Bombyx mori: one gene and its partner. The protein of the gene in region 1 purifies or fractionates together with the protein of each later gene. This does not show direct contact. Links are inferred from orthologs where the notes say so. Each region holds a gene or a part of one and is shown on either strand. Other genes may lie near its edges.

Region 1 (3,500 bases):
ATCTAATTTGGGGAGTTTGTACGAAGGAACTCTCCGAATCCTGATCACGGAGCCAGTTACCGTCGACGCCCTAGACACTTGCTTACGGATCCATTAGATCCAATAACTCTTGCATTAGTCGCCTTCAGCTCTAACGCTAGGCGCAAGCTTATGAATCCCGGTAACCGTACTTGTCGAATTCGGCAAAGAGTTCGACGTGCAACTAACTTAATAGGAGTGGGTAATATCGGTTTTGCCGCGTATCGAATCGTATCTATATATCGAGGATCAATATCGGATATTGAATCTATATATTTTCTGAATCTATATATTGATGGATGCTAGTAGATTTTCTCGATTCATGATATTTGAGATTTGAAACGATACGCTGATATAATATCGTAGTAGATATAGATTTAAGTCAACGTTATACGGTTGGTTTTCTGATATCAATTTATAATATGATTTTAAAGTAATAAAAAGAACATGAAAATAAAAATATCAAAAAAACTTTCCTTCATGCTTTTATCAGGCTTAGGACTGGCTACATTATTTTCAGTTTTTAGTATTTTGTATCTTAATTTAAAATTACAAAATATACCAAAAGAGTGTAGATTTCAAAAGTTTAATACAAACACAAGAAATAAACTCAATTATTTGGATTCAACTAAAAATAGAAAAATGTGTACTTTAAAAATCAAACACAAAAAACTTTTAAGTATTTATAAACACTTGTCCAAAAATTGCAGTTCAAGGTCAAAGCGCGTGAAATTAAATTGTATCCTGCTGATACGCTAAGAATAATCTACAGACATATGGACTTAAATATAAGGTTTACAATTGTATGGATAATGCCTGTTTCTGTTTCATTCATCACATGATATCGTGCGCTCACTCACTCTGGCCGATTCGATACGAACCAAACGAATATTGCTGATATTTACGAATCGGTACGATATGCCGATGCGCATCACATCGAGTAATATCGTGTATCGACTGATATCGTTATATAGATTTCGATTCACGAATCGGTACGATATGCCGATGCGCATCACATCGAGCAATATCGTGTATCGGCCGATATCGATATATAGATTTCGTGCGGGGCGATATCGGATTCAACGATATTGCTGCGATATATAGATATTGAATCTAGATACGATTTATATCGCCCACTCCTATAACTTAAACATCAGCCCGCTGATTTTCTCGCCGGATTTTCTCAGCGGGTCGCGATTCCGATCCGGTGGTAGACTCTGCGAAGCACGGCTCTTGCTAGGACCAGTGTTAGCAAATTCTCTCAGGTTGAGCATATGAGCTCACCTAGTCGTCCGCACGTGGCTGAAATAGCCCCTTAGGTTACCAGCGAATAAGTAAGGAAAAAAAAGCTACACTGGTGCACTTTCATAAATGGTAAAAAGTTAATAACACTAAATTAAAAACACCAAAAAGTCCCCCTTGTTCTGTTTGTTATATGCTGCCGTAAACATTATGCATTGCGACATATTTTATAATTAATACAAGCATCAGGGTTAAGAGTGAACCTTGTCTATGCATGTGGGTGTAGAGTCCACTGTCCAACGCGTCGCTGCACAAGGACGTGCCCGCGCCGCCCACCCCGCCCAGCGAGCCCGAGCCGCTGCTGTGCTTCCCCGGCGCGGAGAACACGCGTGAGTACGCTCAGACACCAACATATATGTCGTGGGTAACGACTTCTCTAATATTAAGACATTGTATTGATTAAATGATAAAATATTGTTTTGATAAATATCACAAAAATGTAGGGTAGACGTCGTAACGCCAAAGTATAAAATGGCGTATATATAATACTAATGGCGAATATAAAATACGTGGACAGAGTCGTCTCAGTCTGTCAGTCAGTATCAGTCAGTCAGTCCGTCAGTCGGTCAGTTGAAACGAAACTGTCGGTTTACCCTTTTATTTATTTATTTAACCACAATCAAAATCACATATAAACATGTAAAAAGTGAACAGAGAAGAGAAATTTAAGTTAAAAAAAACAAAAGCAACATTGTGAAAATTATTTGCTTAGAATTTCAATAATAATATTCAAAAAGTTTTATTGACTTTTATCGCAATAAACTAACTTCTACCGAATACGAATGATGACGGAACTCCCGCTCAGCCATCCGTGACGCCATCATATATTTGTTTACCTTTAAAAAACTGATTTGTTATAGTACACAGCAGAAGAGTAACCGAAGCGATATCTCGAGTGGAGTTCGCGAGAGAGCAGAGACTGCGGGAGTCCAAGAGCGTGGGCAGGGTGCTGGAGGCCGCCGTCACCAGCTACGAGCCCAAGCTGAGGCAGCTCACGTTCAAGTGGCAGCGCGGATTGAAGATCGGCGCCGGCTCGTTCGGCAAGGTACTGTGGTCAGCAGCACGTGGAGTGCGGTAGAGTGCCGTAGAGTGATGCAGAGTGACGGAGGTTGTGGTGCGCAGGTGTACACGGTGGTGAACACGGAGAGCGGGCAGCTGCTGGCCATGAAGGAGCTGAGCGTGGGCGCGGGCGACCGGCGCGGGCTGCAGCGCGCCGCCAACGAGCTGCGCGTGCTGGAGGGCGTGGCGCACCCGCACCTCGTGCGCTACTACGGCTGCGAGCTGCACCGGGTGCGTGCACACCACACACCTGAACCTTTGTACCGTTGTCCCGATGATAGGGAAATGTTTTAAAATTACTGGTGGACCTGTTGTGAGTCCGCGCGGGTAGGTGTACCACCGCCCCGCATATTTCTGCCGTGAAGCAGCAATGCGTTTAGGTTTGAAGGGTGGGGCAGCCGTTGTGACTAATACTTGAGACCTTAGAACTTATATCTCAAGGTGGGTGGCGCATTTACGTTGTAGATGTCTGTGGGCTCCAGTAACCACACAGTAAACACAGTGGGCTGTGAGCTCGTCCACCCACCTAAGCAATAAAAAAAAACTTTATTATACTCCTTAACGCGATCCTGTACAATACGACCGACGTAACTTGACGAGTCTGAATATAGCCGCAGGTCAACTTTCGCGCATTTACACTCGTAAAAAAAAGTGTTATTGTCATTCATTTTTTTTAAATCAAAATACGAATTAAAACTTCCATATACAGAGACCAAGTACAAATAAAATTAATATCAAAACACTATGAGAGAGAAAGCTATAAAAATAATGTAATAAATTAAAGAGAAATAATAAATTAAGACTGAAAGCTGTAAAAATAACGTAATTAAATTAATTAGAAAGTAATCCCGAAACATTGCCTTCAGTTGCGATCCGCTGTACTGTGCGTTGCGATACACCAGCTGCGTTAGTAACTCTTAAAAAACTGTCAAAATATTTTACGCCTTCTTCTTTTTCTTTTTTAAAAAAGCTGCATTAGATCAAAAATTGTTTTTCTCGCCTGGCGATATAAAACACTATTATGCTTTGGTGGCATCTTTGTTGACGAATAATATAAATGCCAAGGGACACTTAATACTAAAACAAACTTAAACACAAACAAATTTAAAACTAAACAAAAA
Region 2 (3,751 bases), on another chromosome or scaffold:
TCTACTTCATTTACATAGAAAGTGAAAATATTTTTGAATTATAGAATGTTAAGGAGCTATGTAAACCCCTATTTTGAAACATTCTTTATTGGTGCTCCACTTGTCTTAGAGAGATGTTATATAGCCGTCTTCCTCAATAAATGGGTTATCTTTAACACAAATAATTTTTCAAATCGGACCAATTAATATTTCCTGAGATTAGCGTGTTCAAACAAACAAACTTCAGATTTGTAATATTATGAAGTATAGATAAATACAAGAATTCCAGCAAATACTAAATTTCAATTTCTGATGAACCTTAAGCATATTTTTTATTAAAATTCCATTATACGATGCTCCTACCATAAATTAATTATTTAAATTGTTTATCTAAATTTATTGTCCTGATATTATTGACAGTTCAATATCATGGGTATCTATCTTGCTTGTGCTTCTTTCTGGAATCTTTTTCTTTTTAACTTAAGATTATATTTAGGGGAAAAAGCGGGAAAAAAAGAAACTTTGTTACAAATAAAATAAAATTTTATTCATGTTTATTATGTTTTAACTTTTACAAAAGATTTATTACGAAATTGGTATAAAGATATAATAAATACATTTTTCGTTACATTAAACTATCTTATGAAACAATGAAAAAAACACTTTTACATTTTAAGACAGTAGCAGTTTAGCACCTACATTTTACAAATTGCTCTCTATCAATTTTTAAATTATTTTAATTCAAAACAAACCCCAAAACATTCTCAAGCAGACTTAATGCAACTACCAAACAACAGATGGCGTTGTGCCTAAGCCAAAATGGCGACCTACTTGAAAAATAATATCGCAAAATTTTCTTTTCACAATAATATCCTCATGTTTAATTCACTTCTCGGGCAACTTGATGACGGGCATTTGTGAATAGCCCCAGTCTGATTCGCAGTGGTCGATCAACTGTCTCTCGGCTTCAGATAATGTTGATAAATCTATTTCTTGACTGTCTGTGAATGGATCTGTATACGGATAGTGTACCAGCACGCAACTGAAGTCCATGGGAGAGCAGTAACCAAGCATTCTCCTCAGCTTAGTCTCACAATCGACCTGTGTACAAAGAAACGAATTTGTTAGCTTTTTTATTTTGATTCCTTTTAACTTAATTCCTTGAATCGTTATAAATTCGATTAATAGGTTCTTGTTAGAGAGTCGGAAATTTTAATGACTTTTTTTACTTCGTGGAAACTAAATTGTCATATAAAATTAATAATAACTATGTATAATTCATTTTATGAAGAAGGAAATAAAATGAAACTCACTTTAATAACATGAATATCATTTTCAACGCAAAATGCTTGCAGGAGGACATCTTGCATATGCGTTGCACTATCGCCAGGCGGGGCTTCGGCGGTCAGGCAAAACAATGCACCATTGCAGTTCTTCGATAAGTATTGAATGGCGGGAAGTAAGCCAATAGTTAACCTTTTTTCGACACAGGCTCGCCTTAACACTGTCTTGATACATTGTCCGATAGAGCTGTGGGAAAACAAATACATTAATAAATTATATGTTACCAAAAACTTTAGTCTCTTGCATGTCAAACGGAGATGCTAACCGCCATACTACAAACAAAATATTATTATCAAAAGCATAAGGTACGTCAATTTATAGTCTAATTGGCATGTTTGAAGTTATTAGAACTTTAAAGTTCTTTGATCTAGGTCAAGTGAAATTCTTGTGAAATATTCATTTTAGTTTATGCATATTGAATTTTTCCTGTTGTAGCTGTAAAGTATTAAGATATTTATTTACCTTTTAGCTGCTATGACACTGAAGGTCTCGGCTTTTACTGGAACAACTGCTTCCTTGTACATTTTGGATAGACGAATGCTTCTTAACTCTTGAATTTCACTAATTTCCAAACTCCGCAGTGAAATCCGAATGTGAATTTTCACAGAAAGCACTAACACTTTACATAAAATCCTTCTATTATGTAAACACACTTGAACTTCTCGCAGTAATTCGAACTTGTGACACAATAATTTCACAACTTTGCTAACGAAACTCGCGTTAGTACACTTTGGATGTTCAATGTAGAATGTGGAGAAGTGACGTAGCGTTCCCTTTTATTGGAAAGGCCGCGCATGCGCACGCTAGTATTTGTATGTGTGCGTATCCTCCGATCAGTTTCGTCGGAGTTTCTTCGAAAAACGCTTGTATTTTCGGTTGTGTGAGTCGTTTTAACTAGTGTAAGTCTGTAAGTGTATATACGAGATAATAATAATGATACGTGGCACGTGGTACGTGTGTGTGAGTGGTTTTTTCTGAAATGCGAACGCGTGGCTTGTCGCGACTTGTTTAAGGACCAATTTAGTTGGAGCTACCCCGTTCTTCTTTTTTGAAGTAAATGCGGCCAGAAAAGGGTAGGTACTATCAGAACGGTAGGTCAAGGTATTTTTTGTTATCGTTAAGCGCATTGGAGAATATCGGAATTCCCGCTACATTGGGTTTTTATTTCAACAGAGGAAATATGGTTCATTTGAAAACAAAAATTGGGTTTGATTCTGGTTTAGTTGTTTTTTTATTTGTAATGAAACATTCGTTTTCAATAGGTACAAGGACTTTAGTATATTTATTGTAGAGCCATGACGGCAAGATGAGAAAACTTCTAATGGGCATTTCTTCTAGTGTTACGACAGGATAGAATTTATTTGAAGTTATGGGCAGGTAGTGAAAATGTTTTTTTTTTTTTTAAGAGATTTTATGACCTGGTAACTAAGACCTTTAAGTCATGTCTTATTTTACTTTATATTCTTAATTTTATGAAAAATGATAATATGGAGTGAAATGAAATGAAGATGATTAATTTGAGACATTAATCAACTGGGATGAAATTTAATGAAATGAGATGATATGGGATGAAATATAATCGCAGTAAAATGGTGGTCATTTACTGAGATTTTTTCAGTGGACTTTTTGGAGGAACCCGAGAAGTTACGTCCAGCAGCTTTGTTTCATTTTCCCACATTGGTGCACTTTCACAGATATTAAACATTTAATAAACCACCGTTATTACACATTTAAACCTGAAGAAACACTAAATAGACAAAATAAAACAAATCACACAACTTCACTGCTCGCGTTCCCGCCAAAAAGTCCAGTGAAAATGTTACTACTATCCTTGTACCTACCTACCCAACTTCAGAAGTCGATGTATTTTAATAGTCTCCACCACAATTCCATTACCTGCATCAGAGCGAGGAGGAAGACATTCATATAAATACGTTAGTTTGAGTATATCATTAGCTACTTATTTTTTTACCTCAAACGTAAATTAAAAAAACCGTGTTTTTTTGAAGTTTTTACTTTCTATAGCACATGAGATGTTAGTGTCGAACGTGAGAGCGACTCTTTCTTATTTTTTTGCTTAGCAGGGTCAATGACCTCGTGGCCCACGTAGTGTTAAGTGGTTACCGGAGCCCATGGACATCAGCAACGTAAATGATTTCTAGTGTATCCAAAGCAGTCAAATTGTATGCAAAAGTGAGTTTGTTTTTCACGTCTGTTAGAAACAAACAAACTCGCATTATGGCGTCGTGTTACTCAACCCAATATCAAGAAACACGTTGTTAAGTGCACTAAAAAAGACATATTCATCATTTAACACCAGGTAACAATTACTATTCTCGATCAATGTAATTTTACTATACTAAAATCTATTATTTATGTGTATAATATTGACGTCAATATTACCATGCACAAGTGACATACTTCGAAC

The links.
Region 2: the proteins of mitogen-activated protein kinase kinase kinase 4 (region 1) and growth arrest and DNA damage-inducible protein GADD45 alpha purify together in Homo sapiens (co-immunoprecipitation; 3 studies listed by BioGRID and IntAct, with this or other methods). This does not show direct contact. The link is inferred for Bombyx mori from reciprocal best matches to the Homo sapiens genes MAP3K4 and GADD45A.

The regions. Positions count from the first base shown.
Region 1 is NC_085112.1:512,081-515,580, forward strand, and holds part of mitogen-activated protein kinase kinase kinase 4, read left to right. Parts: intron 1-1,546; coding exon 1,547-1,649; intron 1,650-2,180; coding exon 2,181-2,365; intron 2,366-2,442; coding exon 2,443-2,610; intron 2,611-3,500. UniProt on the Homo sapiens protein: Component of a protein kinase signal transduction cascade. Activates the CSBP2, P38 and JNK MAPK pathways, but not the ERK pathway. Specifically phosphorylates and activates MAP2K4 and MAP2K6.
Region 2 is NC_085134.1:418,475-422,225, forward strand, and holds growth arrest and DNA damage-inducible protein GADD45 alpha, read right to left. Parts: upstream 2,316-3,751; 5' UTR 1,848-2,315; coding exon 1,786-1,847; intron 1,629-1,785; coding exon of another isoform or gene 1,581-1,628; exon of another isoform or gene 1,566-1,580; intron 1,510-1,565; coding exon 1,293-1,509; intron 1,081-1,292; coding exon 865-1,080; 3' UTR 501-864; downstream 1-500. Other genes in the region: electron transfer flavoprotein beta subunit lysine methyltransferase, read left to right, coding at 1,581-1,628. UniProt on the Homo sapiens protein: In T-cells, functions as a regulator of p38 MAPKs by inhibiting p88 phosphorylation and activity.